Caenorhabditis elegans: one gene and its partners. The protein of the gene in region 3 interacts with the protein of the main gene of each other region in a pairwise test. Each region holds a gene or a part of one and is shown on either strand. Other genes may lie near its edges.

Region 1 (5,259 bases), on a different chromosome or scaffold from region 3:
TGATCTGAAAGTCTCAAACGTGTGCGTCATTGGCTAATTGTACTTCAAGGGGGCTGGTTTTAGATGTTGGAAAATAAGCTAGTAATTACAGGTAAAACTAATATTTTCTCGTTCTGGGGAAGGAAAGAAAAAGTGTGGAAGTTGCGAGGAAATAGTTCACTTAGCTCAGTAAATTAAATTGTTTCTTTTTCCGAGGAACTACAACCCGTAGCAAAAACCTATTTAGTTATTGGAATAGGTATCACGAAGGCGTTGACAAAAAAACACACCTACTATATTTTAATGCTGAATTTTCAAGAAGTTTCCTCCATTAATTTTTAAAACTATTTTTATACAATTTACACAATTCTTTGACGGAAACATTAATTATAGAGTTACATAAGTCTTTTACAAGGGTTCGAAAATCTTTTGAAAACCAGCTAGTTGAACCGTTTTCTTTTACGAGGAAAACAAATCTTATTTCAATCAAGGTGACGGAATAATTGAAAATTTTCTCGTTTTTAAACCAACAAACCCAACACAAAAACGTAGCATTTAGGATTATTTTTGAATCGAGACAAAGTGTGAGAATTTTTAAGATTTCGTGATTTTATGATTCATGGACAATTAAAAATGGAATCATTGAGATCAGATTATCGACTGACATTCAATTACTTATTCGCGCAAACGTGAATATTTGAACAAGTTCAGAACACAAGTTTTGGCAAACATGTAATGAAATTCAAGATTTGGGAAGGAAAATACATTATGAAATATATATATATAAATGGAATATATTGTTTTAAAAATTAAAAAAATCTTCATCAATCTTCATCATCTTCCTCTTCGAAATTTCCGCAAAACGCGTTGAAGTCAGTTGTGTCCATTTCTTCTGAAATGAAAAAAGAGAATAAAAAAAAACAAGAATGCAAGAGCAGCAAAAAGTTCGAAAGAGCCAAGCCATTTGGTTTGTGATTTATGACGTGGCAACTCAAACTTTTCTGGATTTTTGCTTTCTGTGCGTATTCTGGTGTACTGCCACATCAGTGTTGCTTAGATTTTCGAACAAGACAACAGACAATAATTGGAAACGCGTTATATATAATTATAGGGAAACTACTCAATAATTAAACATCATGAAATTCGAAGAAAAAATTCTATGAAAATAGATTTGAACAATCAAAAATGAATGATTGAGAAACTTTAAATACAGAAAATTAGAGAAACGTGAGACATGTTTCCCTGCCTAAGCGCCTATCTATTGCCTGTTTTATGGAGTTTTAATGGAGTTTTCAGTTATAGCCGGAATTTCAGTGAACGGAATAGATTTACGCATGCTTTAAGACAGTAGGTAGGCATATGTGTAGGCACGAAACAGGCACTTATCGCCACGAAAGAAGGTAGTTTTTTTTCATCTATATAAATTATTTGCTTAGAGATTTCGGATCTGAGTTATGAACAAAGTCCGATTTGAAAAGTTTTAGTGTCAAACTTAATGTTTATGCAACAAAACAACTTGTTAAAATGTTTACTAGTCACTATCTATTTTTTGAAATTTCAGAGCTATTACTGCGTTTTCCAGATTGAATCTTTAAACTAACCATTTCTAAAATGAATTGGCGGAGGAATGAGCCCACGTTGCTCATAATGTCTCAAGTAATTGCACAAATGTTTGAGCCTCCGTTCCTTACTTCTCCGGTTTTGGAACCAAACCTGAATTACTCTCATGCTTAAACCGGTCTCCAATGCCAATTTGGCTCGAGCATGTTTCGACGGCTTTGGTGTATTCGAGAACATTTCATTCAGCACGTCCAACTGAAAATCATTATGAAAATTTCCGCTTTCTTACATTGTATACCTGATTTTGTTTGATTGTCGTTCTAGGTCCGCGTCTTTTTAGCATTCGTGAATCATCATCACAGAAATCGGAAAAGCTATAATGCTCAAAGTTGTATCCATAAGCGTCAACCTCCTAAAAATTAAATATGCAGTACATTATTCGGTATTTAATCCCTTTAAACTTTCAACGAAAAATAAAGTATACCTTTTTAACTTGGAAAGCTGATGAAAAAGATTCATCAATTGGATATGGGGCAATTGGATTTTCTGTCGAACAAGATGGTATATCAACTGCAGATCCTATTGCTCCAGGTGCGTTGTCATCCATTTGAGGAGGATAATGTGACATACAGGATACGGTCATCATTGTATCGTCAACAAGAATTTGTTCCCCCGGTGATAAATGCCGTCCACACAAAGAGCAACAATGACATTCCACATGGAACACGAGCCCAGCCTGTAAAGTTCTTTGAGTCAAACTTTACCGATCAAAGCCCCAAGCTCTATGCTTGTGCGTCTAGCAGGATCCCGTCAGAGCAAAGAGCAAAGCGTAAAAAATGATTACATCTTTCAAAACTATTAGTCAAAGCTTTGGTTTTTTTTTTAATTTGAAATTGTAGGCTTTTTGAAATCTTTCGGGCATTCCTACTGTTTATACAAAAGTAGTCAAAAATTTAATTGATAAAAAGTTGACAACTTTTTGTATAGGTTCGCTCAAAGTTTAATGTTTTCTTAAACATTCTGACCCAATTTAATACCTTCAGTTTATATACCATATCTGTCGGTGACACTCCTTTCTTGCAACCCGCACACCGATGAATACTGTGATCCCTGAAATAATGTATTTTTATTAATTCCAAGAATATTTTGCTAAAGCTTACTTATAATAATGTTGACTACAATAAATTCTCCCATTTTTCCAAAAACACTTTTCGGCCAGAGGAGACTCACATATTGTACATTTGACACAATTTTCGTGATACGATCGATTGTCCATCTGAAAATAAATGATGGCTGAAATCTTGAAATGTTGTTCGAACTATAGAAGCAAAAGAAAAATATTCAAGATTTTGAGCAGACTGTTTACAGAAGCAAAGCAAAGAAAGTTTGAAAAATCCACAAACATCAGCAAACTTACTCGATAAATATAACGATCATAAATTTGCTCATTGCAGCAATTACATTTGTTCTAGAAATATTTAAAAAAATTATAGAATGTTAGACACAAGTTTCACTAGAGATCGTATCGATAAAATGAGATTGGAAAATAGAATGAATACCAACCAAAAGTTTACACGATTGACTTTCAGAATCTAACTTTCAGAATTTTTAGAAGATGCGGTAATTTTACTTGACTCTCTGAAAGTCGAACAGAAATTTTCCCTCGTGCGGATTTTGTATAAATTTCAAATTGGAATTTCTTGACACGCAGAAGTCTTTGTAAAAACTTTCAAGCAAATGCAATGTAAGTTTTCGATTGATGTTAATTTCATTTTTCTGACTCTCAAATTGTTACTTTTAAATTTTTTTAAAGAAAAATTGTTTTCTGATGAAATTCACAACTGCTCAAGTTTAATTACTCACCTGATTTTCATGATCAACTCCAATTGAATCAATAACCATACTAATCGCACTGAGAGGCTTTGACTCTAACATTTCCATAGTTCAAATGAAATAAATCAGAAGAACAAATAACAGTGAAATTTAGAAGAAAATGCGCGAAATTGTGGCTACTCACTGTAACAAATCACCCGTCAAGAGCCAGATGTCATGTAGGCGTGGCATGCCAATCCAACAGGAGTCTCTAGACCCTGATCGATTATTAATGTGCGCTAAAACTGGTGTCTCCAAATGGTGACGATAATAGATGCATTTCTTATGAAGCTAGAAAGTGTGTGTAAGGATAAGCACTAAAAAGTTGTCTAGTTGGAACGGGCTCTCTCTATCGATCTCCTGACGGTCACTTGTGTTTTTCGGTCGATTCATTATGGGCAATGCATTTCGAATGAATTTGTTGTTTTTTCAAATGTTGTGTGAAGAATATATGGAAAGGACGTTGTAAAGTTTTATAAAAATTTGAATTTGAATAATCTTGTTCTATTACTCCATAGTTACAAAAAAAAGGAACGGAACGGCGGTGGAGAGTTTCTGACTATGCTAATTATTGGAAAATGTTATACTTGAGAATTCAGATTTTCTATACAACATTAAAAATTATGGTATGGACGTCTTCATTACTGCCAGCCTACTACTTAAAAAAAGCTTTTACAGTGAAGTTTCACCCAATCTATAGTTTGGGAGGTAAAATTCCGCGACATTTCAGTAGGTGGGTGCGTGTCTTGGCAGGAGGCATGCGTAGGTATCCTTAAAATCATATCGAATCATTTGCTCCAACTCGGCATTTGGAGGCAACTTCCTGCCAACAATTTGGCAACTTATTTTAGTGGCACTAAATAAGTTGCCAGGTTGTTGGCAGGAAGTTGCCTCTGAATGCCGAGAAGTACAAAAACTATCAGTATGTATTCATTGTTTGTTAAAAATTGAAATGCAGTCCAGAGAGTTTTCAAAATCATTTCCAAATTGTGAGCGTAACTACTCAGTTGTTGGTGTGTTTCGCTTATTTTCTCCTTTCAACTGGGTTTTTTTTTCAATTTATGTTCATTGATATTTCATGAGTTTTAATTTTCGTTTTGATTGACAGTACGGAACTGTCACAAGATAACAGTAAACCTGTCAATAATGTTAAATTTGATCTTTGTAGAAATGAAAGTACTAATTTAAATGTAAATATTTGCATTTGTGAAAAATAGAAGCCAGAAAATGAGAAAATGAAACCAAAAGTCATTTTCTAAGTAAAACGCGATATTAGAGGCTGCTGGGCAGAATTCCAAGAATTTAGAAAATTGCAGAAAACATTTGTTTTGATAAATGTCTTTAGGAATGAAATCTCAGAATACGCCAAGTTTTGCATATTTTATTATCCTTTTACAAAGTAATCAACCAGATTGTATTAATTGTTATTTCGCAACTAACAAAACCCCTCGTTTCAGTGCTCATTTTGAGTTTTAGTCAATTTCTACTCCCTTATTTGCAACTAACCATGCATATAACTGATAAAATAGGCAGATGATAAACTTGTCACTTTATTTGTTTTACAGAAATTAAAGACCCAAAATCACAATGAATGCTCTAACTTCTGCGCGTTTTTATCAAGAAACAGACTGTGTGTGATGACACACCAGCTCGGTGATAAATCAAAGAAAATGAGATCATTTTTCGTAGTTTTCCTTGAATCACAGAACTGGGCAGAAGCCTTATTCACGTGAATATGAGCATGATACGGTATTAGGTACACTTTCTGAAAAGATGAAAAATTCAATTTCTGATGAAACACATTTCTTCCTGATAAGGTAGTGAAATGGCCCCAAAAGATAAAATTTC
Region 2 (7,191 bases), on a different chromosome or scaffold from region 3:
AATGGACAAGGGAGAGTCACAAAAAATTATCTAAATATTAATTCATTTTCGAGAAATATTTTAAGCATCTATTCTGCAATAACATAGATTTGACTATTTTTGGAGTTTTATATGGTTTTAGAATACTTTAAATACACTCCTGAGAAATTTTGAATAACAATTGAAGCCAAACACAAGTTCGTAAGTATTTCATCTAGCAATTTTTCGTTTTGATGTAAGAAAACGAAAGCTGCAAAAAGGGAATCAACTAGTACGAAATTTCTTGAAGCTGAAGTTTTAGACAATCGACTGAGTACATCAGGAAGAAATCAGAAATGAATCATGCTCAACCTTTCACTATGCTGATTGTGACGTCTAGTGGGTCGAAAAGGTAAAAATGAATTTTCACATCGCTTCACCTGAAAGCACATTACCCTCTGAAACGGGTTCAGTTTTGCATTCAAACAAAATGATGTTTTATGCGAGGATAACATCATCTTGTGAGAGTTTCGTTTTTGCTAGTTTTTTGTATGGCTTATTACTTCCTGCATTTTGAACTTTGAAAATTATTTATCACAAATATAATGAAATGAAATCATTGAGGGAAGGAAAAAGTCAAGGCGGGAAAAAAGGGTAATGCTATAAAAGTCAAGAAAAGGACCAGAAGAAATAAAAAAGGAAACATTTAGAACAATGAAGTAATGTAAAGGACGTTCTAGGTAAATCGCTGAGTGCATTTAAGGCTACGTTTTATTGAAGCTATTGCAACAAAAAAGTAAAGTAGATTCGGATTGTTTGGAAAATGTCCACCAGTTTCTAAGATTGCGGTAAATACAATTGTCAGGAATGAGAGCACTCTGATTTTTTTTGGAAGTTTGAAATATTTGGATGCAAAGATAAGAAGTAGCTACGAGAATAGGCATTATGTACAAAGATATAAACGACAATTAGTTTAAAAGCCAACCAAAACCGCTTTAAAAGCTGTTGGTTCTTTGATTCAGAGTATTTCGGAAATTGCTCAAAGGATTGTTGTATTTCAATGGCTCAAAATGCTGATTAGAAACAAGGAATGAAAATGACTACGTGGTTCAACTAGATTTGATGACACCATCAAAATCGGAAATAAAGAAATTGAAATCGTTTGGATCTAGGGAACCACTGAGGGACGGTTCATGTGAATCAAATTGTTCAACAACATTCTCATCGCAGGATTTTGAAATAGATTGTTCGGCCCTGGAGATGGCATAGGCATCATCGGAGGAGGCAGCATCACGGGTGGCATCGGATTCGGTTGAATTTTGCGGAGGAAATCCACTTGAACTTGCAACTCTCTAATGGTCTTTTCATAGGCACGACATTTGTCCTCAACTGCAACAAGCTTCCCTCTGGCTACCTGAAACATCATAAACTTATGTAAATTATTAAAAATATCAGTGGGTGGGGGATAACTCAGTCGGTAGTGGTGGCCGCTGAAGAACTACAGGTCACGAGTTTTTACAGTGCGCGCGCTTCTTGTAGGACACCCCTAAATTTGTGAAGCATTGGAATACATACAATTCTTCAGGAAAATTTTTTGTGATATTTGGAATCGAGTGTGTCAAAAAACCTCGAATCCGTTTTCATAAATTTATCATCACAATTGAAAGCACCCGTTTTGCTATAGGACCCTGAGATTTTAACCAGCTGAAACCTAGCGTGAACTTGAAAGTGGAGCAGTCCATGACTGGATTATCAAACTTAACCTAAAGACTAATCATATCACCAGAAGTACTGTACCTAATTCCCAGATTCTCTTCACATAGCGCTCGCAAAATGGATGGTTTTTTATTTTTTTTTTTCATATTTTAAATTATAATTCAAAACCATTTAAGACAACTTCCTAACCTGACAATCAAAGCATTTCAAACTTTCGCCCGAATGACTAGACGATCCACCACTGATGTGAGAATCCGAAACCGTTGGAGAAGGCTGATCATGGGAAATGTGGATGTTTTTGTCATCAATCGTCATTTTCAATGGTGGTTCGCCCTGAAAATTTTGAAAGTTTCATAATATGACATATTAAAGTTTAATGGGGTGAAAAACAAATTTTCCTCAAAATTTCAATAAGTTTTCCTTACATCATCGCCTTCCACATCAATATCAGCATCGTGTTCCAGTTCTCTTTTGAAAGTTGGTTCAGTCTTGACAATGACTGACCGAGGGCTGACATCACTGCTTTCCACTTCAAATTTGATGTCTTCTTCAGTTGTCTGCACTTCTAAGTCGTCATAATCGCTAATATTAGAAGACTGGATGGAATCCTTAAAATGTAATACATTTGAATTCAAAACATCAAAGAGTTGTAACGTACTTTGGACGGTGTTTGTTGCGCTGCCAGATTAAGGGCCGCCGTGTTGATGGGATTGTTGGCAAGCCACGCTGAGAGGAACTGTGAAGGACCCATGTTAGAAAGATCCAGGGGGAACATCGATTTGGAGTCGGGGCTTTTGAGCAGTGTCGGGAAAATGGATCCAATGTTGTTATTGTTTGCAGCAACTTGTAACATACGCTTTTGCATCAACAAATCAGGCGAGAAGGGTGGAGACTGACGCGGGGAGCCCGACTCGGATGTGCTATCTACAACTGCAAATTTGTATTAATGGATTTCAAAATTTGTGGGTAGATCTTTACCATCTGAACTCTTAGCTAAAACAGCCGCTTCCCCCGGTGTCCCATTTTTCAGCATACTCTGCATATGGATGTGAAGACTTGTTTTGTCGGGAAAAGCCCAATTGCAACACCGACACATAAACATTCGGGTAATGTTGTGTACTCGATACATGTGACTGCGTAGTGTATCGTTGCCTGCAAAATTGTTTCTTAAGGTTTCCTAATGACTGAACAGTGAGAGCAGTGCCGGCTCATTTCGCACTCATTTTATTATGGTAATTATCAAATACTATTTGAACCCTTCTCCAGCTTTTGAATTCATGTCTCAATGATCTAAATATTTGTCGAAAGTAACATGTAAATGGCTATTTGCCAACCCCAACTGCATTGCTATTTCCATATTCCACTTAATTGCCATTCTTTGTGCCACCGAGCCTAACTGTCTATCAATCAAATGAAATTCGCAACATTGGGACACTATACGCGCGCCCGTAAAGGCATGTTAGGTGCCAATGTGACGAATGTTCTACGACGACCCCCCTCATTTGCATGTTTGTCTGAATTTGAAAATACGCACTATAGAAAATCTATAGAATAGCGGATCTTGCCTACCGACAAAGCAGTAACACAAAAAAAAACGACAAACGCAGGGGTCAGGCTGTAAAACATTTTCATGTTATGTTTCGGTATTCTACTGGTTGATCCGCTTATTGTTGGATTGCGCACGAGTAATATAACAAATCCTGTTGATCTGCCTGCTAACATGCCGCCGTATGGATTCCACGTATAGGCGAGCGGTGAAGTAAGGTGTGAAAAAAGCTGGGTGCTTTGGCCGAAAGTTTCTTGAACGACCCCCATGCTCAGCGAACCGTAACAAATGATTGACGGCGAGTGAACAACCAATAAATTGTAATGTTGGAAAGGTGGTAGAAAAAGAAGAGGTTGCAATTTTTGTTGCGGAAGATGGGGAAAGAAGACAATCGGTGGTTTTTTTTTTACTTTGCCCGCGCGCTGGCCCTATTCTTCGCTCTCAAGCTCACTTAGCGACAGTGGCGTGCCAACAATTAGCTGATGGATGGTCATCAAATGACTGACCTTGGAGGTTCATCCTACCTTCCATTCCAAGAAAAGAAACCATTAAGTAATACATACATACCGTCGGTTATTTATGCCTCTCGCTCTCTTAGGAAGCCGCTCGGGATGGAAAGATGGGGCAATTAGACAATGCAAATAGCAGACGTGTTATTGTAAAACTGTGGCGTAATATGGTCAGAGGTGTCTTTTCAAAAGATTCTTGCACAAATATTAGAGTCAATTTGTTATTATTTAATACATGATACTGCTTTCCATTATAGCTGGAGACGCTCCAGTGGGAAATTGAAAAAAAATAACGCCGAATTTGCCAAACGACGCTACAAAAATTTTTTGAAATTTTTAATTTTGTTTTTAAAATTGGTAATTACTTTTTTGAAAGTCGTCGATAAACAGTCGCCTACATATTTTTCAAATATAAATATTCAAACATTGTAGAGATCCGAACATGCGGCATTGCTATAGTTTTCTCGAAAAGTGGCAAGAACACAGTTATTGCCACTTTTTGACTGTCAATAATGTTGGTCATTTTGGCTCTATATAAGTGGATGTTAACCATTTCCCCACTGGCACTACTCCACCTTTAAACTTTTTGCTACTAGTCCAAAAGTGCACATGGTTGTTTTAAAAGCTTAACAGATATTACTAAATAGATACTCCTAATTGACAGTCGGAGCTATCTCGGTATTTGCACACCTCCTCATTCAGTTTGCCATGCCATATAGATGTCTACAATTAAGAATACAGTAGTAGTTGGAAAGGGTGTCAATATTTAGATAACCAATGTAATTTTTTGGCGGAAAGAAGGAGACTGTATCAACCTTGTTTGACACATGCCCAATATAGCCACGTGCTAATCGGAGGGTGTGAGTTGAGTTTAAGCTTGTCAGTAAACAATGCCACTGAGCTTTCGCGCATTTCAGATTATGGAGACTTCCGATCAAATAAATGTATTGGGAGGGAGATTAGAAAAATGTAGAAATGCAATAAACTGGTAGAAGACAGAAACTAAATGCAGCAGGAAATAGAACATTCGTTCAGAATTTTAATTCAATTTTGAAAAAATAAATTAGAAAGTTAAACATCACCTAGAACCCATAATTTTTTATTTTTAGATTTTTAGATCAATTTTAAATTTTCAATAGAATAAGTTCCGTACAATTCAACAATAGCTATGTTCTCGAGTTAAGTTTCCCTCTCTTTTTTCTTATTATCATATGATAAAACATGATACAAAACTGTGAAAACATCAATAGCGGCATAAATTGTTTCGCTCTTTCTCCCCTATTGTTAGTCAAGCTCCTGCTACTCTGATTCATCTATTTCTCTTTTTTTTCTCAAACTTGCATTTTCAAACTTACTTGGAATTTCGTTGTTGCAAGTGGTACAGGTGTAGCTTTTAAAGTGAGCCTGCATCCGGTGACGACTCAGAGACGAACTGTGGCAGAATACTTTTTGGCAAATCGAGCAGGGAAATGAGCCTTTCAAATCGGGACGTTTTAGCTCTGCACGATAGGGCATTGTCTAAAAATGTTTTTGTTATTTGATGAAGCTTTTAGAAAATGGTGCTGAAATTTTCACAAAATCGAATTTGAAAGGAAACACTAACAAGGAAGAAGAAAAAAACGGTGGACAGTTTGAATGAAAGAGCGCTCATAGATGAACAAGTAGGATGGGCTACCAAGACCTCCACTACTTGAAAAGTTTTGCGTACAACACTCGAAAAGGTATTCAGACGCAGCTCTTCTCTCCGGAGACAAGAAGGTCGTCGCCGGCTGACACCAACCAGGTATTTACACCCTCACTTGATACTGTTTAAAAGTAGCGAAAAAGCATACATAGCAGCGATTGGACAATGCATTACAGTAGCTCAAGTATGGCGGGGAAGGTAAGAGTGCTCGAGAGGAGGAAGTGAGAAAATAACAGAACATTCAAAATCGAAATTTGTCACACGGCTTCTGCAATCTTAAAATGAATACTACAGTAATCCGGTGACCTGTGCTCTTGGACTAACAAAATGGCAAGCAGTAGTGCAAGAACGAGCTGAAGGCTATGACTCCCCCCGCCTACCCGATTTTTGGAGGCGGGGCATACCATGCAGAATAGAGATAGTGAGCGACGGGACGCACGGGGTGAGGGGAATGGCATCAAGCACAGTCGGGATAGTAAGTGGCAACAATTTTGGCTAGCAATTGCGAGTTGATTAGCTTTCTCAATTTTGAAAAAAAAAAGTTGGAAGCGAGTCTTAGATAGAAGCACGATGCTCTTAGGAACAGATGTGGGCAAGCTGTTCAAGCTTTTTTTTAGTATAGAACACAAGCGAATAACAGTTGGGAAACTTCTACCAAACACGGCTGACCCAAAAAAAAATAGAATGACGCGAGGGATACACCAAAAAAGCCCTCAAACCATAGACAGCATGATTGCTTGAGTTGAGGATTGCGCGCATCTTCGATTCTCGTGTTCTTTTTTCTTATTGGACGACCACAACAAAACCAGTTTTGTAAAATTGATTCGGGTTGCGCAATGCTAGAATAAACTATCCAACATCGCTATTATATTCGAATTTTTGTCTCTCTCTCGCTCCCGCTCCCCCTCTCTTCTGACTGCCATTCGACCCCATAATCACACAATGCTTTGAGGCCGGTTTTCTCGATCCGCATCAACAAGTTCAACTATCTCTATTCAATGTGCTATTTTAATTGGGCACACACTACCAAAATTTTGAAAATGTTGAGTATGACTGTTGAGTTTCTATCTATCTGTATTATTTTTTTGGGCCTACACACGCCGCAGCAACTACAGTAATTGTAGAGCGGTGACGGATAAGAGTGTGAATCTTACCCCGTTGAGATTCTCGGCACGAACAGGGATTGGCCTTGGCCGTGTGTCCAGGCGCTCGTATAATAAGGATTCACCTCCTCCCGCGTACAGGTCGCGTTCCTTTTCTTGACGGCTACATAATCAGTAGCTATCATAGCACATCTTGCCTTTTCCCGCCAAATGTCTATCTGGTATATATCTCCGAGAGAAAAGAAACAAGAGGCGAGTAAGGTAATGGAGATATAGCGAATGGATAAGAAAACTGTTCCATATACTACATCAAAAGACAGACAGGTGAACGCAAAGTGACAAGAGGTCTAGGTGGGCAAGTAGGAGGAACATATGAGAAAAAAGGGAAATGGAAATGAACATTTTTTAGAAGTTTTCAATTTTAGCAGGACTAACAGGTATTGGAAAGAATGTTTGAAGAACCTAGGAACATACTTTTATGGTCCACATATTTGCATCAATTAGACATTCAAATAGAGAATGCTCCTATTCATATATGTATTAGCATATTACAATTGTTGCGATTTTTAGTTTTTGGACTTAGTGAAATGGTTCAAAACCACGCCTTTTGTGCTAAAACGTCTAAGTATCATAATGAAACTTTTGCAATATTTAATAATATTTAGAGTCGAAAAG
Region 3 (7,295 bases):
CTAAGATTGTCCACAACGATTCACCGCCACCAAATTCTATTAAGAATTTATCTTGTTCCCTAATGGAAACAAAAAAATTCCTTTTAAAATGGGCGGTTCATGTCATTTTTATTTATTATGTTTTGTGATAACAATACCAGAACTACTGAATGCAGTGTGCTGAGAACGAGTACGCTACTGAATGCAGTGTGCTGAGAACGAGTTGGCCGCGCCGTAGGCGCGGTCAGCGGCTGGTAACCACATAAAATACGAAAATCATTTTTTTTTGGTGTTTACTCAAAATTTCTCTAACAAGACAAAACCAAATAGAAGTGATTTTGTGACACGCGGAACGGGAAAGGATCCGGATATTTAATACAGGAAGAAGGCAGATAAGTTTTGTAAGATTGTATTTATCATCAGTCGCGTTAAACATTCCATTTCGTAGACTTCCCACTCCTTTGTGATATTTCTCAACATTTTTATTGGAAACCGTTGTCTTTTTGTAAATGTACGTACCAACATTAGTCTATCAGTGAGATCTCTTTATTATTTGTTCAATTGATTTCACACGCAATCATAAATTATTGGATTTTCTGTTAACTTTGGAGATTAGAAATGTCTGGTTGTAATGTTAATGACTAGATTGAAGGAGGGTTGGTACTAGCTTCAGATGGTTGTGTCTGCTGGTAGTTAATATTAGCAAGTGAGGTAGCAGCTGTAGCGGCCGATGGTGTCGTCGTCATTCGAAGTGCCAAACTTTTCTGGTAGAACTCGTCGTCAGCTTGGAAAGAGGTGATGGAATGACCGAAACTGAAATTAACGAAATATTTATCCCACAGTAAAAAGACGAACAAACTTTGCAATGGGATTAGTGAACGAGTTGGAATATGAAGGAGAAGCTGTTGGGTATGGCATTGGTCGTTGATATGATTGATACCAAAAACCGTCACGATTCAATGCAGCTGGGTACATTCCTTGTCGCATCAAAGTATTCGCTGGATTGGATAGGAATGAGTGCGGGGGATTGATTGCCTGTAAATAACTTTTTTGATGAATTCAGAATATATTCGTCATCTTCCTACCTTATTCAATTGTTTTTCATGCTTCCGATGTTTTGCTCGCCGATTTTGGAACCACACCTGCAAACAAAATTGGATTACTCGAGAAATTAGTGGGGAGTATGAGTATGATCAAGTCAGATCTAGAGGGATGGAGTAGAGACAGCCAGGTGGCAAAACTGTTACGCAATAAGTAAAGGAAGTGTGAATACGCTACAGTAATCCTGAAATCCTTACATCTAGAAACAAGATATCTAGTAATACATTAGTGTGTCATTGTTTTTTTAATTTTACGAATTGGAGTCAGAAATGTATTTAAATTTATAATTCTACGTTAAACATTGTATTTAAAATTATCAGGGAAAAATGAATAAATGTGATTTTGGCGCAATTTAGTAATTAATTAAAAACGCAATTTAGTATTAAAATAATGTATACTGTTGGGTATATACGACAACCAAATTCTACAAGATTGTATGTAAACAAATAATTGGAGTATTTATTTCAGATTCTACAAAGTTCAAAAGTATCTTAATACCCACACAATCCAACCAAAGAAAGTTTTTAAAAGTCACGTCATAAAGTATTACTGTCTCCGGATCTTTAATCCTTCCTTTCCTTTTCTGTTCCTCGCTACACTCTCTTTTCTTTTTATCAAGTCCCTTCATTTCCTTTTTCTGTATTTCTAAATGTTGATAGACTGCTCAAGAATAAGGGAAAAGCTGTGGTGAGGAAGGATATTGAGAAAGCGGCAAAGGCAGAGCATAATTCAATTTGCTTGCCTCCTAACAAAGACGCCGATGTTGGAAGAGAAGAAGACGATGGGTTACGGTAGACTGGTGATAGAGAGTTTCTTTTGAACAAGAGTTTTAGAGATTCAAAGGCACTAGTTTTGAGTTGTTATTATTATTATTATGAATATTTAAAAAAAAAGGATACCGTATGACGGATATGGAAGTAGGTAGACAATGAAAAAAATCAGAAAGGGTGAGAAGTTTTAAGCATGTATCATTGAATCTAGGCAAAGTTTTATTTGTTTTATTAGAAAGTTCAGAGAACTCTATAAATAGAAAAAAGTTCAGAGAACTTTATAAATAGCAAAAGATAACTTACATCAGTAGATCGCAAAGAAAACAGTCAGAACTGAAAGCTTAATCACCAAAAAATAGAAGCTTATTTGAAGTCAAAGATGTGCTGAAAACATTATTGGTAATTCCACAAAACCGTCAATTTAGGAACGATAACCCATCTTTTCAGCACTAAGAAATAAAGCTCGAAACGCAGAAAAAAATCAGATTAATTCGAAAATTATATTCAATTTAGTTGAACAATCCAAAAAACTATTACCGGCTGAACATTGTCGTTTACCAAATATGTGTGCATTCTTTTCTCTACAAACGGATACTTCAAAGAAATTCCTTCATCAAACTTTTCAAGATGGTTTTTAATCAATTATATATTATTTCTGTACATCTATGTTAATTTTTAATTTTAAAAGTTGTATAAGTTCCCTATTATGGCAGATTGACTTTTTTGTCTCAATTTGTTCTTCTCAGCTTCACAAGCTCAATATCTAATCCCTACCAGATGTGTGATGGTGCGTGGTGGATTTAGCGCACAGTAGGTGACCAGGAGGTGGTAGACAACTATCCAAAGGCAGCAATTAACGCGAGATGAATACCAATAAGAAGTGAGGAAGAAGATAAAGAATATGAAGAAGAGAAAGAAACAACAAATTAGAGCACATGTCTCACAAATTGAGCATACAGTTTAATTTCGAAGCTCACCTGTATTCGAGCTTCATTCAACTTGGTGATCCTTGCCAATTCCTCTCGAACGTAGATATCCGGATAGTGACTCTTTTGGAATGCAGCATCAAGCTCCTGAAGTTGTTCCTGAGTGAATGTCGTCCGATGTCTCCGCCTGGAATTGAGACGCTCTGATTCGGGCCGTTCTAGGCTACACAGCCTGCAATTAAGAAAGGCCGTGGAGCACTAGGTGGGTGGGGGAAGGCAAGAAAATACGTGAGAAGTACGGTAGAGTTTGTTGAAAATTAACTTGACTATTGATAGAAATTGAAGATATGAAAATATAGGCGGCACAAGTCAAATTTTGGCTCTTTCAAGTTGTATAATTATATTTGGCTTTCTAAATTTTTAAATTTGGCCAAATAGTGGCCAAAAAAATAATAAACGCAAACATATTTTGTCAAGGGTTTGGTAAATAGCCAAATTTACTTTTAAAAAACTGGGTTTTTGGAGTAGTTTCAATAAATGAAATCTAGATAACTGCCTTATTTTGACATTGAATACCTACATACATCAAATCCCTTCTACATCTACCGTACCCCTATCTTCCAAAATATTAAGAATACTCACCTTGCAGGCGTGTTCGTGACCCCAGCAATCGAAGATCCAAATACCGAGCCACCGAGTCCTTCGGTTTTAATCTTTTTGAAGGCGCCATCTGCAACATCACCAGTTTTAAGGCTTAAAAATGGAAAGTGGGCAGATGTTCGGAGGAATGCAGAATTTCGAAATTCTTAGTGTGAATTGCAAGGAATAATCAAAGAAATATGACACCCTTCTCTACATTGTCTTACCATAATAATACATTGTTAGATTGAGTTGTTAATTCCTAAATCTGCTCACACAAGTACTAAAATAGTAAATAAGAAGAGAGACACTTCGCGCACAAAGTCAAGACTAGTGGATACAATAGAACGGATGGATAAGAGTGAGCATCTGGCAACAGGCGTCATAATTGGCTCGGTGGCACATGCTCCAGAGATGTGAAGTACCATTGAGGAGGGGAAGAGCAAGGCGGGGGGACATGGTAAGGGTATCAGTTGTACTAACACAGCATGATACCTTTGGCGGAAGCTATTGCGCAACACTAATAAAGAAAACACTTGAAGTGGTTTTTGCTGAATCTTGGGATAGGTGAGAATATCAAACGAAATAATAAGAGAAGCTCAGGGTCAGAAGGACCTTTTGCTCAACCTAGAAGGCACTGATGCAAGGAATGAACTGGCATGCGGACGACGAAGGAGAGACATCAAATATGATTCCGCAAATCTGATATATTCTGATGTAATTTTGTTCGCCTTGCTAAAGCGAAGCTCCTCCCTACCAGTGTAGAAAAAAAGAAGATGGAATGTAGAGACTAACCTGATGATGGATCCGAAATTGGACGAAGACTTGCCGAGACTGTATCCAAAGAGCTCGGATAGTAGGCAGTGAAATCGTGAAGAGATACTCCAAGATCTTTCACTTTTTCTTGGAACTGAAAATATAGATCATGATGTAGGTTCCAGTAGAACGTTTTTATACTAATGTAAGGTGAATTGAGGAATCTGTTGGAATCGATTAATGGAAGGACGGTAATAAGGAAATCCACAGTAACACTAGAACTTTAAAGTAAAACATAACGCCAAGAAGACTAATAAAAATTCAGTGACTTAACAGTTTTTCAGCAGAGATTCTACCGGCTTAAGATCTATTTTTCAAAATGTTCGGTTCCACTTACAAACTAATATAAACTAATACAGTTGGTTTTTTAACTTTTTTGTGACTAAAAAATCAGACATCAGTGTCGAGGTATTGTATGATCATTATCTAGAACCCCGTCCAACATTAGCTTCTTTAGGATTGAACACACCAAGATCAGATCTTTAGCGGTGTTTGTGGTGGGACTTTTAGTTTTTTCAAACCCATGTCTAAAGTTATTTCTTGTGAATTAAATTATTGATGTCCATGGTACGGTAGTCTGTGATTTTGATTTTAACATCAATTAAAATGGCGAGCTGAACAATAATTCTAGGGAAATTGGAGGCGAGAAAAGTTGGAAGGCTATCGATACCAGCTCCGGAAGACAACTGAGGAGGTTTGTGTGTGTGTGTGCCACTGATCGTGAGAGCATCTAACAATCAAATTTCCATAATGAATTTATGAGGGGAAGACACACACACACTTGGACTCCTCCCAGTCGTCTTCCGAAAAACGACAACGTCTTCAGGAGACGAAGAATATTGTGCGCGCCAGAAAAGTTAATTATGGAGCTCTCGGCGACGACCGACGGCGCCACCAAATCGTATTACTGTTTATTTCGTTTGCGTCGAGGGCCTCGGAGACTAGAATTAGTTAGCAAATTACCTGTGAGACAGTTGATGCTCCGTTCGCACCGTTCAGCAGATTGTCGCTCATTGTGTGAGTGAAAGCGGAGAAATGTGGAAAGTGAGGGGTGACCGAAGTCGTTGTCGACGTCGTCGTGGAGGCGGACAGGGTTGCTTCTGAAGAGAGGGGCAGCTGACTGGTCGCCGTCCGCCTCCGGCTGCTCCTCCTCCTTCACCACCGGCCCCAACCACCGTACCCATCTTTCCGCCAGAAGAGCTAGGTAGCCACGCCTTCTTTTTGATTTGGATTGGTTTGAGAGAGTCAAGTAAATTAGATTATTTGACAGCTTCTTCTTTCCGTCTTCTTATTCTTCAACTGAGCTTCTACACTTAACGGCAACGAATTCAGTGATCGGTGGAGAGCGAAAGCTATAATCGAGTTTGGACGGACTCTGAAGCCGGGTGGCGATAATCGCAATTAGAGAAGCAGTTCAACTGGCGAACCCCACACGAACACACGGACTAAATCCAAATTGGGTTGGAAAAATTGTGGGTTCGATTTGAAAGGGGATTTAATTTGTGGTTAAACTAAAATACTCAGTTACGCTAAAAATAATTAATTGAATTATTTAAACGTAGAAATGCTGCGATATGTTTAAAAAAAGGGAAATGTAATCAGAATGTTTGTAGTCATTTAATAATAACAATAATAATAATTTATTACGTTCTTGAAGAAGCGTGAAAAGAAAAAAGATGATACATACAAAGATTCATGTCGGAGGGTGGACTGGGAGATTATGGGCAAAGTGAAAGAACCTGAGGCGTAGAAAAAGAGCATGAGAAGGAGTAGGATAAAAAAACAGGAGATATCATAGGATAGTAATGAATGAATGTTATTGATCAAGAGTAGATGTCGTTCGTTTCCTAACTTAGTTATCCTTGTTTAAATTAGATAAAAATTTGAGGAATGACGGTTGGCTTAATGTTCTGTTAACGAAGAAATGTTTCCTAATTTTAAATTTACATCTGCTCCAAGAGAACTTTCTTTTACAACGCGTTCTAGTGTTGTCCGAGAAGGTAAAAAATTCAGGTACTTTCAGATCTATTTTACCGTTTAACATTTTCAAAATCATTTTTTTATCGGTTGTCAGACGTCGTCCTTGCAGCGGTGTGAGCCCAAATAATTCATTTCTTTCTGTCGAGGTTTTATATTCCGGATCACTTATTGAGACGTATTTGCCTACAGTCCTACTATATAGACGCCTTGTGAACGAATTTTGAACTGCCTCGATGGCTCCTATATCTGACTGCTTTGGTGGGCTACTTATAACGGTTCCGTACTCTAGCAAAAGCACAATAAATGTTTTATATAATAGGATCATCAGCTTTGGTTTGTTACTGTTATAATGGTTAAAAATTTGTGACATTTGAAATTTCGAGGAATTAATAGCCTTTTTCCAGTGTTCACTAAAATCCAGATTATGAGAGATCATAAAACCTAAGTCACGTGTCGTTGACTCTTTTTTGATATCCTGGCCGTTTATCTTATAAGTGAAATTTTGGCGTTTTTTCCCTATCGTGAGATGGACGGTTTTTTTGTTCATTAAGAGCCAATTTGTTACTGACGGACCAATTTGCTACTCTGTCTATTGCTTCTTGCAGACTATTAATCTGGTCGCCTTTTGGCGTGTGTACATACAGCTTGGTGTCATCTGCAAACTGCTGCACTTTAACATTTGCGGGCAGTATTGTTGGGATCTCATTAACGTAAATTCCAAAAAGAACTGGTGAGAGTACAGCGCCTTGCGGAACCCCACATTTAGCGTTTTTTACAGTAGATAGTGTATTTCCTATTTTAACTCTAAATGTCCTTTCTATTAGAAAACTATTGATCCAGACTATGATATGTTTATTCAGTCCCAGGCGTATCAGTTTATTGAGGAGAATGTCGTGGGGAATTCTGTCAAATGCCTTGCTGTAATCTAAATATGACGTCAATTTGGGCTCCCAGATCTAGGTTGCTTGTCCAGTCATTCAAACTATTCATCAGATTAGAGATCGTTGATTTTGTAGGTCTGAACCCATGCTGGTTCTCATTCCAAAAATTGATTTCTCTAAGATACGGTTCTATTTTTTTCAGT

The links.
Region 1: the proteins of unc-42 (region 3) and mec-3 interact in a two-hybrid assay, tested with the Caenorhabditis elegans proteins (one large-scale study listed by BioGRID).
Region 2: the proteins of unc-42 (region 3) and ham-2 interact in a two-hybrid assay, tested with the Caenorhabditis elegans proteins (one large-scale study listed by BioGRID).

The regions. Positions count from the first base shown.
Region 1 is NC_003282.8:10,458,287-10,463,545, forward strand, and holds mec-3 (Mechanosensory protein 3), read right to left. Parts: upstream 3,582-5,259; 5' UTR 3,481-3,581; coding exon 3,403-3,480; intron 3,008-3,402; coding exon 2,957-3,007; intron 2,816-2,956; coding exon 2,700-2,815; intron 2,650-2,699; coding exon 2,577-2,649; intron 2,276-2,576; coding exon 2,024-2,275; intron 1,952-2,023; coding exon 1,838-1,951; intron 1,795-1,837; coding exon 1,581-1,794; intron 872-1,580; coding exon 804-871; 3' UTR 530-803; downstream 1-529. UniProt on the Caenorhabditis elegans protein: Transcription factor. Specifies differentiation of the set of six touch receptor neurons (TRNs).
Region 2 is NC_003284.9:4,552,747-4,559,937, reverse strand, and holds ham-2 (Zinc finger protein ham-2), read right to left. Parts: upstream 5,254-7,191; 5' UTR 5,245-5,253; coding exon 5,085-5,244; intron 4,440-5,084; exon of another isoform or gene 4,296-4,439; intron 4,006-4,295; exon of another isoform or gene 3,564-4,005; intron 3,196-3,563; exon of another isoform or gene 3,057-3,195; intron 2,827-3,056; coding exon 2,653-2,826; intron 2,605-2,652; coding exon 2,333-2,604; intron 2,283-2,332; coding exon 2,100-2,282; intron 2,008-2,099; coding exon 1,864-2,007; intron 1,373-1,863; coding exon 1,127-1,372; 3' UTR 530-1,126; downstream 1-529. UniProt on the Caenorhabditis elegans protein: Probable transcription factor that acts downstream of egl-15, to promote migration of the HSN motor neurons from the tail to the gonad primordium during HSN cell differentiation.
Region 3 is NC_003283.11:9,764,025-9,771,319, forward strand, and holds unc-42 (Homeobox protein unc-42), read right to left. Parts: upstream 5,333-7,295; 5' UTR 5,246-5,332; coding exon 5,195-5,245; intron 5,142-5,194; exon of another isoform or gene 5,004-5,141; intron 4,326-5,003; coding exon 4,211-4,325; intron 3,729-4,210; exon of another isoform or gene 3,656-3,728; coding exon of another isoform or gene 3,643-3,655; intron 3,507-3,642; coding exon 3,419-3,506; intron 3,009-3,418; coding exon 2,828-3,008; intron 1,122-2,827; coding exon 1,065-1,121; intron 1,015-1,064; coding exon 839-1,014; intron 793-838; coding exon 621-792; 3' UTR 510-620; downstream 1-509. UniProt on the Caenorhabditis elegans protein: Probable transcription factor. Required for initial outgrowth and pathfinding of axon growth cones along the ventral nerve cord (VNC).